2 linked regions of the Tamandua tetradactyla genome follow. The protein of the gene in region 2 interacts with the protein of the main gene of each other region in a biochemical or structural test. Links are inferred from orthologs where the notes say so. Each region holds a gene or a part of one and is shown on either strand. Other genes may lie near its edges.

Evidence for each region.
Region 1: the proteins of CRY2 (region 2) and FBXL3 form a complex in vitro, tested with the Homo sapiens proteins (2 studies listed by BioGRID, with this or other methods). The link is inferred for Tamandua tetradactyla from reciprocal best matches to the Homo sapiens genes CRY2 and FBXL3.

Annotation. Positions count from the first base shown.
Region 1 is NC_135330.1:144,768,565-144,777,433, forward strand, and holds the start of FBXL3 (F-box/LRR-repeat protein 3), read right to left. Parts: upstream 3,817-8,869; 5' UTR 3,713-3,816; coding exon 3,687-3,712; intron 3,399-3,686; exon of another isoform or gene 3,379-3,398; intron 1-3,378. UniProt on the Homo sapiens protein: Substrate-recognition component of the SCF(FBXL3) E3 ubiquitin ligase complex involved in circadian rhythm function. Plays a key role in the maintenance of both the speed and the robustness of the circadian clock oscillation.
Region 2 is NC_135334.1:122,493,962-122,502,389, reverse strand, and holds the start of CRY2 (cryptochrome-2), read right to left. Parts: upstream 3,665-8,428; 5' UTR 3,656-3,664; coding exon 3,441-3,655; intron 1-3,440. UniProt on the Homo sapiens protein: Transcriptional repressor which forms a core component of the circadian clock.

The sequences.
Region 1 (8,869 bases), on a different chromosome or scaffold from region 2:
TCTAAAATTGTGAAATTGTAACCCATGTCAAAGTCTGAAATATTCTACAACTAACTGTGGTGCTGTGCTTGGAAATTTATAGCTTTTTTGTATATATGTTATTGTTCACCAAAAAAAAAAAAAAGGAAAAAAAGTCTATTGTGATGATAAGAAAGTATTTAAGTCCTCTAGCCTCCTATATTCTGGAGCAGCTAGTAGTAAAAATATGAGCGGATCATATGGTAGCCCATGACAAACTCTAGGATCTCTCCTGTAACCACTTTTTGAAGAGTGTTTTGAAATGGCTACTTTTTATTTCTTTGCTTTGTATATATGTTGTACTATACAATAAAAAGTTTTAAAAAAAGTGTGTGTATATGTGTGGGGGGGGGGTAGTTATAAGAGAAAAACAAACTGGAAGTAGAGTCACCAAATTATTACAATAACTAAGAGTGGGCCATAGGATTACTGGTGATTCTTTTTTGTCAGTGTGCTTTTCCTTTCTATATTTTACACATTTCTTTTAACATCTGTTGTTTTGTAATCAGATTTTTAAAAAAGGCCTTGTTTTTTGTTGTTGTTGGAAAGTATGTATTGCAGCCTCTGAATTAAATGGGGTAACTACAGATCATTCACTAGTACCCATTTAGTTTACAGCCTGCAATACTTCTGTTTCTAGAGAGCTAATCTAAGTAAGTGGTCGTTTGAACCTAGACTTGGGATCATGGCCTTTCAAAAGAATGGCCTATAGTTCCAACTCCCTTCTTCTGGCACATGAAGGTATGAAAATTTCTCTCTGGTTCCTGTGTGGGAAGAAGGACATGCATAAGAATAATCATAAACCGAACAGCTCTCTCCAGTAGCTAGCAAAACTTGTGAAAGAGGATTAGGAGCTGGAGAATAGAGGCAGAATGGCAAGAGGAGCCTGACCTCCATGCCATGAAAATGAGCCCAGGTCTTAGCATATGTACAATAAACTGCCTATGCCTCATTGCTCCTACTTCCAAGCATCTGAGTTAAGTGAAATAAATGATATATAGCCTACTGAGAAGACAGAGAGGATGGGAGAAAATAGAATAACAAAAATAATAGTTAACAGGGTACTTTTATGGAAAACTGAAACTTATTAACTTTTAACACATTTTGAAGTGATTTTAAACAAAGGTATAATCTACAATATAATCTTTAAAATTAAAAAAAAAAGAAGAAACCTCTCCTAGTAGTAATGTCCTACCAAAGGTTGAGATTACACTGTCATTATGACCCATTTTTCTGCTTTAACTTGTTTTAAAGTCATACTTTAATTTTAGCATATAAAATTTGGGCCAAAGAACTAAGCATTTGCTATTCAAAGCTTATAATTTTTCCTCTGACTACCTGAAACTACTCAGAATTTTAAAATACAAAGATTCATAACAGAATACAGCAATCTTGACAATTTCTACTCCTCATTATAGATTGCTGACCCCATTTTTTTGGAGAAAAGTCTTCTAAAACCAGAAATACTCTATTAAAAGCTGCAATTATTAGCCTTACTTTAGAATATATGGACATATAAACAAAAATGATACTGGGGTGGTGGTGATGATAGCACACCATGTGAGCATCTGTGAATGTAATTAGTATCACTGAATTGTGTACATGAAAGTAGTTAAAAGGGGAAATTTTAAGCCATGTATGTTTTATTATAATGAAAAATGTTTAAAACAATAAAGTACACTTTAAATGGGTGAAATGTATCATCAGTGAACTATATATCTCAAGAAAGCTGTTTAAAAAATAAACTGGTCATTCACACAATTATCTTTGGTAAAACTGCTGATCCTAACAATAGATACATTTGTTTATTTAGCCCTGTTTTCAAGTATATTTCAATACTTTTCCAAGTTGGGAGTAGGAGGGAAAAAAAAACCCAAAGTATTCAACACTAAGGTATAGTATTTCCATGTTCACCAAAGTATATTTTAAACATTGATTAGTTTATGAGTAGCTGAACAAAAATCTATCAATTGCCATATGTCATTGAACTACATTATATCATAATTAGGATCTTAACCTAGATTTAAAAAGCAAATCTACAAATATAAGGCTAAATGCAGACAAAAAACAATAATCTATTGTCTTCATTTATGCATGAAAATAAAAGGAGTGGGCATTTAATACAATTTTAAAATGCCAATTTTTCGTGCAAAAATTTACACTGCTTTCAAAAATATTTTATTTACTCTATCTGCACATGAAACTGCTGTATAGAAAATTAAACGATTCAGATCCACCAGTCTGCAAATAATTTATGTCAGTAAACTTATATATCTTCTACTTTTAGTCAAAGAGAAAACACCTTTTATATCTGAACAGGAGAGGGTAGGACAGATATGGACAATACACATCAATGAGACTTTCTTGAGCAACAAAATCAGGCCTCCGCAGAGCTGCTTAGGCAGTTTAATTTCACATTACAACTTTTGAGGCCCCAAATAATTAATTCAACTTATTAGAGCTTCTGATGAGTGAACGGACTGATATTATTGGGAACTGCCTCTCCCCCCAAAAAACCTAAGAGGAAAAACTACAAACTAGTTGAGCAGCAAAGAGAGCTACTGAAGTAACTAACAGTTCCATAAACTGACAGGAACAGTCAAATTACTCATCAAATAGATTTCAGCTCACCAGAGAACACGCTGCTGTATGCCCCTCATTGCATCAGCACTTTCACATATGCTGGATATGTAATAATTTTTAAAGCCCATCAGCAGTTAGCTCTTGAAAGCTAAATGCCTGTTTTTGCATCAAATCTCCTTTCCATTTTTGTTTTGCCTTGACTAATATCAAAATTAATATATATTCCTTGACTGGAATACAATAGAAAAGTGGAAACAGCATTAACTCTCAGAACTGGATGGTAGGGAGAACGTGGTGAACACATCCAGTAATCATATGTAGATCACTGGGAAGTTGATGGCATTTTTATAAACATTTCACGAATAGTAGAAGCTAACTTTTTTCAAGTTAAAAAGAAGATTCTAATTAAAAGACAGGCCACTCGGCGGACATCAACAAATTAATTAAATCTCTTTCAATTCTTAACTCGGAGATGCAAGCCAGTCATTTGATGGGCTGCTTTCTGAGCACTATCTGCAGTTCCACCTAAAAAGGCTGTTCACGCGAAAAGGAAGCACAATGCTGCTCAGCACAAGCTGACCAAGTTTTCCACTTGGCTACGCGGCGGGAGCGTCTCTGCCTCCCTCCGCCACCTCCACGGATTGGCTTTCCCTGATATAACTCCTGCCTCTACCCTTCAGTTCGTTTTGACATCCTAATCCCTGTAATTTCTCAAGCTACGAGCATTGGTGTAGCCGACGCCGAAAAGGAACTGGCGGGGCGCGAACCCCACAGTACCTGTCACCAAAGCCCGCCAAGCGCGGCAGGAGCTGCGGCGAGCTCCGCGGCGTCACGGGGAGGGCCGCACGCGACCGCCGCACAGGCACCACGCCTTGTTGACGTTTGGAAGCAGGCACCGCGGGGAAACGCCCCCAAACAGGCTCCAAGGTCTGGGAGCCGCGCCCGGCGCCCCGCCCGCAGCGTCCAAGGGGCGCTCCCCCGCACGCCGGGGACCCCGCGAACCCCGCCCATCAAGAAGAGGACTGCAGACCCTCCCCCGGCCCCGTCGTCGCAGCGGGGCTCCGGCCCTGCCCCTCCGCCGTTACCTGCTGCCGGGGGCGGCTTCCCCCATACACCACCCCGGGGTCCGGGGAGGAGGGCGGCGGCTGGTCCCGCGGCTCTCACATGAGGCCCCCCGGGAACCCCGCTTCGCGCTCCCGCCGCCGCGGCCCCCCGCGCTCCGCCCGCATCCGAGGCGCTGGTCCCCCGGCGGGCGCCAACGTGGCTCCACCTTTGCGGCTGTGGCTACCCAGGAGAAGTCTTCTTTTTCAGTCCCACGCCGACGCGACCCCCTTCCGGGTCCTTCCGCCACTGCGACAGACTCCCTCAGCGAGCTGCGGCCACCACGGAGCTGCCCAGCGTCTCAGCCCAGACACGGAGTCCAAAATGGCGCCTGCGGCTCACGGCCGCGCGCTTTCCCGGCGCGTCTCCCCCCGCGTGGGGCGGGTGCGCGCTGCGGAGGACGGTAGAGGAGCCGCGCCCAGCCGTAGCGTGCGCAGCCGGAGCCGGGTGTGCCTTCCCCGCGCGGCTGCGGGCTTCCAGCGCCTGGTTCCAGAGAGGCTGCCACCTTTATCTCCTCAGACGTGGCTCTTACTTTTAAAATTATTGCTAAAATAGGAAAGTTTAGGGAGGTGGTGCAAAAAGAAGAAAAGAGAAGTTTCGAGTCTGCTGTAACTCCGCAGCCGGTTCCCCTGGGCGGAAGGATAAACAGTGGCTGTTGACAGCTCGCTGAGATGGCCTTCGGGATGGCTACGCCTAGTGCCCCATAACCTAAGGGGTTAAAAATACAGGCTCTAAAAATATATACACGTAATATATGCATTAAATGTTTAAAACACTGCAAGGAAATATAACCGGATGGTTGCCGTATTAAGGGTGGGATTATAGATGATTTCTATTTAGGTAATTATTTTCTAAATCTTCCTAAAATGATTTTTTAATAGGAATTATTTGTTATTATTTCTATTTTAAAAACCATCTTTGTTTTTATGAGGTAAATAGGTTCCTGAGATTAGTAAATAGCTTTCTAAAATGGAACAGTCTCTAGCAGCTTATTAATGCAGCTGTACCTGAACTTCAATATTTTTTTAGGTCCCTTAGTGACTGGGTAACAATAGGACGTTCTAGGAAAGGCATTGCTAATTATTAGAAGAAGAAAGGCAAATAGGTCAAATTCAGGTCCATTTATTTGAAACTAGGTTAACAGCAAAACACTTCAACCAATCAAAAAACATAGCCAGTATATCACATTAAAACTCTCACCCTCCAAAAGTGGCCGCTTTTCACTTCCCCATTTTCCTCCTGAAGTAGAGGAGGACCTTAGCACACTTTGCATTTAAACCTCCCCTCTTTTTCCTGTTAGAGTTATTTAAATTTTTTATTTCACTTTTTTTCAGAAAGAAAACCTCTGCTTATTTATAAATCATTCAGTAATTACAGTTGTCCATTGTATCAGTCAACATCATTGGCACAGGGGTTGGAAAGGGTGACTGTGGAGTAGTTCCATCCAGGAGGGAGCAATATTTTATTATTGAACTTGTTTAGAATTGCAGGTGCATTATGATAATAAAAGCAGGACAACTTATAGTCAGTTTTGTTATTGTTTTTCAATTCTGTACAGAAAATGTACCCCTTCCTCTGGGAACAGAACGCTCCCAGGACCACTCCACCTAGGCACCCGCTGACCAGGAAAGACTAGGTTATGTGGCCGTAGTTCCTTATACACCATCTCAGACTTACCTGTTTTTGAGGAGTTTGACAGTTTTGAGGAAAGCTGATCTGGTATTTTGTAAAATGTTCTTCAATTAGGGTTTTTCTGATGTTTTTTTTCATAAGACCAGGGTTATGGGTGTTTGGGAAGGAGTCCACAGGGGTGAAATACCATTCTCATCCCATCACATCAGGCGCATGCTATCATCATGACTTAACCCTGTAGGTGTTAGCATTGATCAGGTGTTGAGGTCAACTTTCTCCACAGTAGATACTCTTTTCTTCCCCTTCTATGCTCTGTTTGTAAGGAACTCACTATGTCTAACCCATACTGGCGGGGTGGGGAATTATGCTCCTTAAACTATATGGGATTTTTCTACGTGGGAGGTTTGCTGCCGTATCTCTTAATTTCACAGTTATTTCTTTATTTTTCTATATTTAATTCTTTGTAGTTTTCTCAGAACTGTCTTACAATTCACTAATTCTCTTTTCAGTTCTATTCAGTATCTGCTTAACCCAGTCATTGCCTGTGTTTTTTATTTCTAAAAGTTTCATTTGGTTCTGTAAAACATCTGCATGATCTTTCTTGATGTTCTTTTCTCATGTTTTAAATTCTTCTCTTATTTTTCTGTAATCTTTTTAGTCATATTAAGTAATCAGGGGTCTAATCTAGATACGTGTCAGTGTTTGCTCATGATGGGTTGTCCTTAATGTATTCTATGATTTTGAATTGTGAATTCATCCTTTGTGATGCTTTAATTCTAGAAATCTTGTGCAACCTGGTTGAGTGCACGTCATTCCAGAGAGGTTTTTTAGTTTGCTTTTGCCGGTAGCTTCAGGCTATTACTAGCCAGGAACAATTTTTATAATAATTTCTTAATTTTGGGTTACTTAAGTTATAAAGAGAGTATAAATTCAAATTCCAACCTGTGTGAGGGTAGGCCCGTGGTTATGAATTCTCAAAAAGGCTTTCTTCCAGTGATATAAGTCTCCCTGGCAATATGGGCAGGACTTCCAGGGATAAGCCTGGCCCTGGTACTGTGGGATTGACAATGCCTACCTGGCTAAAACGGGGAGAAGAAATGTAAAATAAGTAAGATATCAGTGGCTAAGAGATTTCAAATAGAGTTGAGAAGCTATTCTGGAGGTTACTCTTATGCAAACTGCAGCTAGATAATAATAATTGTCATAGCCCTGTAAATCCTCAAGAGTACCCAGTGCTCTGAGATTCTATGAAAGTTTCACTCACTATTTTTCAGAAACCTATAACTTTCAGATGGTTCCTAGGCCAGAAAAGCCCAGAAACCTAGTTACCAGTTTCTCCAAGACCATCAACCATCTGCATACTCCTACCCCATAATGTCGGCACCCCTTTTAAACATGAAGAAGAATGACCATTGCCCAAATATCCCTAAAGAGTGGGAGAAGGGAAGTTCTTCCATGAGAGCTTGGCAGTGTAGAAGCTCTTTGTCTACAACCTAACCACTAGAGAGTGCCTGGGGCGCACCGCCAAGAGCTGCAGTTTGATCTTGCTTTTCTACCTAGTCTTCTATGGGCTCCTGGCTGCACTCTTCACATTCACAATGTGGGTTATGCTTCAGACTCTGAATGATAAGGTTCCAAAATACTGTGACCAGCTTCCTAGTCCAGGACTTATGGTTTTCCCAAAACCATTTACGGCATTGGAATATACAATCGGTTTGTCTGATTCAGATTCCTATAAAGCATACATTGAAGACATTACTAATCTTCTAAGGCCATATGATTTACAAGGACAGAAAAATGTCATGGTCTTCCCTGATGGAGTACTTTTTGAATAGAAAGGCCCAGATTATCATGCATGTCAGTTTGTTGATCACTTACTTGAAGCATTCAGTGGTATGAGAGATCCTGACTTTGGCTATTCCAAAGGAAAACCTTATATTCTTGTGAAAATGAACAGAATAATTGGATTAAAACCTGAAGGAGAACCAAGGATAATATGCATTCCCAAGGACGGAAACATGGCAGTTTTATTAAATTATCCTCACAGTGCAATTGTAGACTTAAAATATTTTCCATATTGTGGGAAAAAAAATGCACGTGGAATATTTAGCCAGTAGTTTCTGTCCAGCCAGGATTTGGCTCCAACAGTACCAAGAAAGAGATGATAGTTGAGTGCCAGATTGATGGGCCACCCAATCTAAAATGCCAGGATGATCACGACAAGTTTTTGAGACAAGTTGTGTTCAAAATTACAGTGAAGGCATAGTATAGTAGGATATTTTCACAGAATAAATTTTGTGTTGTCTTGTCTTCATTTTGTATCAGCTGGACCTGCCATTTTAGAATTATGAGACTACCTTGGAGAAAGTGGGTTGGTACATAACACTGGGGTAACATCATAATGTGCTTCCAGATCATAATATTCAGTGTGCTCCAAAGCTACTGCCTCTGCCGCCCTTTGACTAGTGTAAAGATGCTGTATTAGGGGCTGCTAAATGCCTGACTCAGAACATGTGTAATGGGGGTCTTGTCCTGGTTTTATGTGGTTTAATTGCCAGGTGTCTAAAACTTAATGCGCTATACTCTGTAAATATTTTATGGATTTAACACTGGTTAACTGTCGTATTTTGATGCCAACAACTTTTAGGGATAAAATGATAAAAGAATAAATGGTACCTGACCAGTATCAAGTGACTTTATAGCTGCAATAAATGTGGTTATGTAGACACCCCTGAGGTTCTGTATGTTGAGGAGGAAAAAAGAAAATAAAAAATGGGTTTGAAAGTGGAAAAAAAAAAAAAACAGTGGGAGTAGGATCATAGGAGAAGGAGGAGTTGTATCAGAGAAGATAGGATTTAACAAATGAATATGATTACTTAATCATTATATTGATATTCCTTTTTAGTCTCCAGTGTCTTAGGGCAGCTAGAAGTAAACACCTGAAATGGTGGAACTGTACCCCATACCATACACTGAAATTTGTTCTAAAGCTGCTCATTAAAATGTACTTTGAAATTTATCACTTTTATGTATAAATGTTAAATTTCACAGTAAAAACGTTTAAAAAGACCTTCTTTTTAAAACCAGATCCCATTCAAAGACATATTAGTTTGTTGTTCATCTCTTTGTGTCCTAAGTTAAACATTTCTTAAGGAGGATGAAGATCTTCAAAATTCCTGCTTTATGCAGGGATTTCAGTTACAACTTCTCTTGCAAACTCATCTCTTGTCCTTATAGGGCATTAAAACCCAAGCCTTTATCTCTAAAAAGATTCCTGTCCCACCAGTCCTTCTATTTTGGTCTTAAGGACTTTATGTTTGCTCTTCTCAATTCATCTCTTTACCTCTTATATATCTCTTCACCCTTTCATATTTTTGTTTCTTTCTTCCTCTTTGTTATATTACACTTCCAGTTCACTGATTTTTCCTTTGACTGTTTCCAGTCTAGAATTTATAGCAACTTATTAAATTTCTCATTCCCAACATTTATAATTTGTTTTGTCTCATATCCATCTAGTTTTAAATAATCATTTTAA
Region 2 (8,428 bases):
GTTGATGAGACCATAGGCAGTCCAGGCTGGCTACAAAGGATATAAATAGTAATTGGTTTCTTCTAAAGAATTAAGAGGGCTTAAGCCTCCTGGAAAAGGTTAACTCAAACCTACAATCCATGGCAGGATTAAGTATCATTCAGATAAAAATATATTTATTCTTTCTTAATTTCAAAGATGAAGGTTTTCTCCCTTTGGGGCAAACTGAAACGGTTTCCCCAGCAGCAAAACAGTGAAATAACAAGTGGGAACAGCTCAGAGAAACTCGAATTTCCCCGCCAGCAGCCCATAGCTCTCGACCCTCTTCTCGCTGACCAGGTTCTAAAAGAAAAGAACGACTCAGAACAATCAACACTGTTTAGCTCCAAGCATGTGGAAGGATAAATCATTGGCTCCACCAGGCGCCCTGGAGAGTTCCCATTTCACCTCATTTACTAATTCTGAGTTATACTGACTGAGAGAGAACCCATTAAGTTTGTACACATTTCTACCAACTCCCTTTGTCCTACTAGCTCCTGAATGCAGATGCAGCACAGAGCTAGGGACAAGACGTTTTAAATAAAATGTGAGGAACATTGCTGCCAACACCTACCTAAGTTGCAGTAGGGAGAGAAAAGTAATGAAAACTGCAAGGGCCTATTTCAAGTATCTATTTTAAAATCTAGACACTGTCACATTTTCCTATTTTTTTTGTTTTGATTGTAGCACTTCCTTCCAGATGCAGCATATGTGGAGAAGGTAAGGCTGGGGAATATGGCAAAGCCAGCCACTTTAACAAAAAAACCTCCTGAGGTTCATATAGCTACAATTAACCACAAAGTCCCTACTACCCCCAAGTCAAGGAGTATGCTCGTCTGCCACCCCAATCAATAATATACATATTTCTGGTTGTTTTTCTCTATCTTCATTTACTCTCAGAGAGTGTCATTCATGGTTATTTTAATTTGATTTTATCTGCAGGAAAAAAACTGGGCAGAGGTCAGTACAGGCAGTACAGAAGGGTTACGGAGATCACATCCACCCCTTGCAGACGGCCTGGGCCCACCCTTCCTAGGGACGCTTCTCAAATACAGCAGCTCAGCAGTTACAGAGCTGGGACTGTCATGAAGCAGCACAATTCTCCCAAATTCAAAACCAGCCGCTGGAAGATGACAGACTGTAGCTCTGCGGATGTATGTGAGGCTTCGACACCCTCCCTGCCTCCAGCCGTGTGTGCATAACAGCGTGCACCACTGCCTCTCCCCAGACCCCGGGAGCACAGTGCGGCGGGGGTGGCAGGAGTACGCCTGTTTCCAGGGCCTCACGTTCTACCTGTTTTGTGCTATTTCACCTCTCTCATCTGAACGCCAAGCTAGTTAAGACGGCCTGCCAGTGCACTGCAACGCATCTGCCAGGGGGTCGGGCTCAGGTTTGTGGCTCTCTAGTTCAGTGGTTCTCAAGCTCAGTTGCATATGAGAGTTTTAAAAATGGCCTGCTGCCCAGGCCTTTTCCCAAAAAATTAGAATCGGGGGAGGGGATGGGGTAGGAGTGAGGGCCAGGCATCTTTTAAAGATCTTTAGGTGATTTCACTATGAAGCCAAGATTGAGAACTACTGCTCTAGCCCACCCACTATTTATTATTTTTTTTTTCATGGCACTTAGTTCTACTGAATTATGGTTGCTTACTTGTATTCCCTCCACTAAAATGTAGTTTCTCAGAGCCCCATGTCTGCTTGTTCACTGCTACATCCCTAGTAGTACCTAGGACTGTGTCTAGCAGATATTAGGCATTCATTAAGTAATTGCTCAATTAACATCTACATTCCTATAGGACCTCTGACTCCACAATTTTACTCAGGCATCTGAACTGCCACTTTCCTTTTTTCCCTCACTTGCTTAAAAGCACAATCACAAAGGGGTGACCCACAAAAATCCATAAACACCTAGTTTCCAGCAAATCTAAGTTTAATCAGCAACAGGGTTTTGTTTTTAATCTCCCCAACTACCACAAAGAAGTTGGTAGTTCTATGAAATATCTGGCAAAACCCAATAAAAGAAGAAACTCCTTGGTGACAATGTAACAAGCAGGGAGGGAGATTCTATTTACTCTGCTCTGACTGGCACACTGCCACAGGAGGGGGCAAAGTCTGAGGCCTGGTTCAATGACATCTCTACGGATGGTCATTTGAATATGTTTGTCAAACCCAACCTCCTATCTATAGAAACTGGAGCAGAGAGATCAATAGAGCAGACTGAAAACTGTGTGGGCAGCTTCTCCACGGGATTATCTTTAGTCATTCCCTCCATAAAAATGTGGCAGGAGGGGGCATTTATTAGACCCATTACTAGAGGCACTCATTCTCCCAGCAGAGCAAAACCTTGGTGCTGAAAGAACAGCGTGTTAAGAGCTAATGTTTCCTGGGACTAAAGCAGCTTAGGGACGCAGAAAGGCCACAAGCAGAACCACCCCCCACCCCCCCACCCCCCCACCCGGCCCCAACGATGCGAACAAACCAAGAAACTGCTCCGCGGTGTGTTAAAGAGAGCTGGGTACGTGATGTCTCAAAACTCCTCGGTTTTGGATACTAGTACAGAGATAAAACACCAGCTCCCTATCTGTTAATCCTTTCCTCATGACCCTGTCAATGCATCTCCTGGGAGTCCTCTCAGGAGGGGCCCTCCTGTTCCCAAAACTTAGCACGGCAGCGCATATTAGTCTAACCTGTAATGGCTCGAGTGTCCTTTAAAACCAACGCATGAGAAGAGGAAGAAGGGGGTGATGCCTTGTTTGGTTCTTATTTTAGAGCAAGCTCGCGGCTGCTAGGGAATTCTCCAAAATGAGAGAAGTACTGCTCCAGGACGCAGGTACAAAGGACACCTCTGGGTTGTCATGATCGTGCAGGACCAGCATCTCTAGACAACCCCAGATGTCGATGTGGAGGGGAAGGCAGGATGGGACTCGGAGAACCCGGGGTTTAGGGATGACCTTCAGGAGCCTCAGATCCTACTAGAGAAATCCGCCCTGCCGTCACACCGCGCAGATCTTCTTTCCTGCCCTCCCCGGCACACCCGGAAGAGCCCGGGGGCAGGAGGCCCCGCTGTGCCTTCCCCTCGCTGCACGTCCTTGGCAGGTCAGCCTCGCTTTCCTAGGGCGCAGGGGTGTCAGCTGGGCTGGAGGAACACAGGTGTCCCGCGGGACACAGTGCGGCGCACAGGGGCCACCGCACCCGCGACAGCGCTGGGTCAGAGGCTACGCCCTCGCCCACCGGCGCGCGAACGAGCGCCCTAAGGCGACCCCGGCCCGGCTTCTCGCCCTTGGAGACCCGCTCCGTCTCCCTGCCCACCTCCCTCAGGCCGGGGTCTTCCCGCCGCGGTCGGGGCAAAGCCTCCTGGTCCGAGGGCGCCCCCGGAGCCCCGGCCGCGCGCCCCGGCCCGCGCCCCCGCCCCGGGCCCCCCCTCACCTCCACCGGTTGATCCCGACTGACGAGGAGGCCGCGAACCAAGGATCGAGGATGTACACGCAGCGCACGCAGCGCGCCCCGCGCACCGCCGCCAACAGCGCCGGGTTGTCGTGGAGTCGCAGCCCCTTGCGGAACCAGTGAACCGAGGAGGCGCCATCCGCGCCCAGCGCCGGTGCCGGGGCCGCCGCGCCCGCCATCGCCCCAGCCGCCGCCATCACCGCCGCGTCTGCGCCGGCCCCGCCGCTCCGCCCCGAGCGGCCCCTCGGGCCCCGCCCCCAGCCCGCCCATGGACCCATGACGCCGCCGCGCCTCTCGGCGGCCCGCCCCTCGGGCCCCGGAGCCGCTCTGCCATTGGCTGGGCACCTCCCGATTGGCCCCCGCGGCGCCGAGCCGGCCCCGCCCCCTCACGTTCCCGCCATGTGTGGGCCGGCCCGGGAGGGGCCGCGGGCCGCGCGGGTGACGCAGGCGGCTGTCCCTGCGGAGGCCGGGGCGGGGCCCGCGTCGCCAGGGGCAGCGCCGCGCTCTCTCGCCGCTTGCGGCAGGCCGTTGGCTGCTGCGGTTGCAGGCCCTAGTCCGGACTTCAGGACTGCCGGGCCGCCGTCCTCCTCGCCGCCCAGTGGCGTCTGTGTGCCGGCCGCGCGGTCTGGTCTTCCCGCGACGGTCCGGTTTCCCGCTCGCGCTCGGCAGATCCCGGGAAGGAACTGTCATTAGCTCCTTTTACAGATGAGGAAACAGGCTGCTGCACGGCGAGTGCCTTGCTGGAGATCATAAAGCTGAAACGGGAAGCCACCGCGTGGTTCTCACTCCCGAGCTTCTTTTGAGCTCCGAGTCCTGCTCCTAAGCTTCCGCCGGTGCTGGGCTGCTGGCTGCTTGCATTTGCCAGGGGCGGGTCCAGGCAGGGGCGGGGGGGCCTGATAATGCAGTAGCGGAGGGGCTGGGGCAGGTGATGGGGAGGACGTGGGCTGAGAGAGTCGTGGGGCCGTCAGATGAACTTATTTGCTTTTAGTTTTATATTTAGTAGACTGAAAGCACCATTGTGTGCAAAGCACAGTTTTGGGTTTTGTGTGGGATTCAGAGATGTGGCCCACTGCCCCAGACCTCTTCTGAGAAGCCACGTGGCCCTCTTGGCTTCTGGAGTCTGGCACAGGACTTGCTGATTGCCTGACTGAATGAATGGTAAGATAAGTATGTAAAGACCCCCAAGAGAGTGTTCAGGGTGGGCTAGGATGGGGCTCTGGGGTTATCTGGTAGAGAGCACTCTGTTTCAGCCACACTCCGGGTGATGTCCGTGCCGGGAGCCCTTCTTGAACTTGGGAATAAGGGATGGAGGAACTTGACTCAGCAATTTAGTGGCATCAGTTTGCACTGCTCTATAAACCAGAATGTCCATTGCAATCCTGGGCTTTCATTTCCAGGGTTTTGCACAAAGCTCTTCCCTCATCCTGGATCACACACACACACGCACACACACACACAATTCCAGGTTGTCCTGTGTCATTGCTCGCTACATATGTCAGCTTCTGTCTGGCCCCAGCCTGCACAGTGTCCCAACTCCTGCGCTTATTACTGGCCTTAGCACATGGTACTGGAATTTCTCATTTACTTGTCTGGCTGAATTAGACGTAAGCTCCTGAGAGCAAGGGCAGTGGCATCTTTACAGTTGTCTTTCCAGGGTCTAACTCAGTGCTTGGTCTAATGTAATGCTTGAGGATTAGTTCAATAGAAGGGATTATAATGACACTAAATAAGTGTCTGCCACTGTTATTCTGAATGGTAGCATCCATGTCTGATTTTATGTCCTTGCAATACTTAGCCCCGAGTCTTATATGTCCTGAGTGCTTCTTAAGTTGCTGAGTGAATAAAAGATTTTCCTACGTTAAAACAAGTGCTCACAATTATTCCAATAATGTTCAAAAGAAAACCATCAGCACTACCACAGCAACGGCAGAGGTAAATAATGGGGAAGGGGCAACAGTTAAGAGAAGGTTTAGATTTCCTATTTGGTGAGGGTGTCTTTATTGATTTTCTTTCTCTTGGGAACAATGAAATTATCTAAAATTGAGAATGTTGATGGACTGTGGACTTTGGGCTCTCTACATGATGCCTGATGAATGCAGGTGGCTGAAGGATGCACTGACAGAGAAGTAGATTAACGATGGTGTATACTTAAGAATGAAGGCTGTGCTGCTATAAAAAGGAACAAAGTCGTGAGGCATGCTATGATGTGAGTGGACATGTGGGACATTTGGTGAGACAAAATAAGCCAGAAACAAAAAAACAACAACGTTATGGCCTCCTACAGAAAATGCTAAGAAAACAGGGGCCTAGATTGTAAGCTTTTAGAGCAGACACATTAAGTCCGGAATGGTGATTATTTCTGGATTTTGAGAGGCTGTTTTATATATATAACCTGATATTTAGAGATAAGAATGAAGCCGAACAGGTTTGGGTTAAAGTAATTCAGAACATGGGTTAAGGAAGACAGTGTCTGTTGTGGTAGTTAGGTTCAGGTGTCAACTTGGCCAGGTGAAGGTGCCTAGTGCTATGCTGTGGACATGAGTGAATGGTACATGAACCTCGTCTGTTCCTGATTACACCTGCAGTCACCTAGGAGGCGAGCCTGCTGCAATGAATGACATTTGATTTAATTGGCTGGTGCTTAAATGAGAGACTCAACGTAGCACAGCCCAAGCAGCTCAGCATACCTCCTCTTTGCCCTGGAGGTTTTCAGAACGGTTTGGGTCTAGTGACCCCTGTGTTCCTTCCAATTTCTCCCTATGGAAATGAAAACCTGTATCCTGTGAATGTCCTCCTTTGCATGTTGGCTCCAGATCATTTGTTTTTGAGATTCATAGGTCCACAACTAGAAGAGAATTTCTTGCACCTTAATATTCTTTAAGGTGATGCATATAGTTGCCAAGTTGACAAGGGGTGGACATGTGGTAGTTAGAGGCAGTTGTCAACTTGGCCAGGTGAAGGTGCCTAGTTATATTGCTGTGGACATGAGCCGATGACATGTGAACCTCATTTGTTGCTGATTACATCTGCAGTTGGCTAGGAGGCGTGCCTGCTGCAATGAATGCAACATAGCACAGTCAAGCAGCTCAGCATACCTCATCTCAGCACTCGCAGCTCAGCCCAGGCCTTTGGAGATGCAGAAAGGAATCACCCTGGAAAAGTTGTTGGAAAGAAGGCCAGCAGAGATCGCCCTGTGCCTTCCCACGTAAGAAATAACCTCAGTGGAAAGTTAGCTGCCTTTGCTCTGAAGAACTATACGGTTTTCAACTAAATAAATCCCCTTTTATCAAAAGCCCATCCATCTCGGGTGTGTTGCATTCTGGCAGCATTGGTAGACTAAGAACATCTATATTTTAGAACCACACGTACTCTTTGGAGCAATGGAAGAAAGGTTTATTTGATCTGGAACAAATGTTCTGTAGTGCATAATCTAATTCAACGTATCTGTATAGCTCATTTGAACCATTGAAACACAGGGAGCACAGAATAAGAAAGAGGTCTTTTAATCCTGTATAGATTATTGTAATGCCTGGAAACATCCTAGAGTATATTAAGCAGATAACCAAAAAGTATTGGCAAAGTTCCCTGAGGGAGGAGAGAAAGACCATTAAACCTTACCATCAGGGAATCCCCTGATACTGTGTCAAACTTCAGGGATATCCAAATCAATAGGCCATGCCCTCGGTCATGAGGCTTACTCTTGTGAAGCTTATGTAGGGAGCGGAGAAGCTTAGACTACCTATAGGCATACCTGAGAGTTACTTCTGGAGGACCTCTGTTGTTGCTCAGATGTGGCCTCAGTCTCTCTAAGCCCAACTCTGCAAGTGAAATCATTGCCCTCCCCTCTAAGTGGGGCATGACATCCAGGTGTGAAAGTCTCCCTGGCAACGTGGTAGAGGACTCCCAGGGATGAATCCAGACCTGGCACTGTGGGATCAACAATTCCATCCTGATCAAAAGGGAAAAAAGAAGTGTAATTAATAAAGTACCAGTGGCAGACAGAGTCCAAATAGATTTGAGAGACTACTCTGGAGGTTGCTCTTTTGCAAGCTTCAGGTAGACCTTGCTACCTGTCATAACCTGACAACCCCCAACCAGGACCATTCCAGCCAATCCTAAAGAACACCTAGGGCAATATATAAGATTCCACAAGGGTTCCAGGCACTAGAGTAACTTTCCAGAAACGTACAACCTGCAAATGGGTCCCTGGTCCAGATAAGTCCTGAAAACTAACCCAGCCTCTCCAGAACATCAGATAGTTCCATCTCCCTACCCCATATTAGTGACAGACCCTTCCAATATAAAAAATTTAAAATTGCCATAGCCCAAACAACCCTAAAGAGAAGGATGGAAAGATCAAAAGTGATGGTGGAGTTATATAGAGAATATAGGATTTAACAAATGAATATGAATGCTGAATCATTAAACTGATATCTGTTTTAGTCTCCAGTATTTTAAAGCAGCTAGAAGTAAAAACCTAAAATTGTAGAATTGTAATGCATTTCAAACTCTGAAATCTGTTCTACAACTAATTGTTGCAGTGTGCTTTGAAACTTATAGCTTTTTTGTATATATGTTATTTTTTCCCAAAAAAGAAAAAGTGATGATAAAGAATATAGATATACTCCTTCTAACCTCCAGTGTTCTGGAGCAACTAGAAGGAAAAATCTGAAATGACAAACTCTGGGATCTGTCCTGTAACCACTTGTTAAATAGTGCTTTGAAAACTATTGCTTTTTTATTTCTTTAATTTGTAGATATGTTATACTATACAATAAAAGTTATTTTTTTAAAAAGTCAGTAGATGAACCTCTCCATTAAGTACATTTTCAGTCCTTTCCCACCAGCCTTGGAAGAAAAATCTCAAAAACATATCTCATTAAAAGTTAAAAAAAAAATCTCATAAAGAAGGGGCAGGTCCAGCCAGATGGGCCCTCCTTCTGACACTGTCTTTCTCATATTTTTAGCTA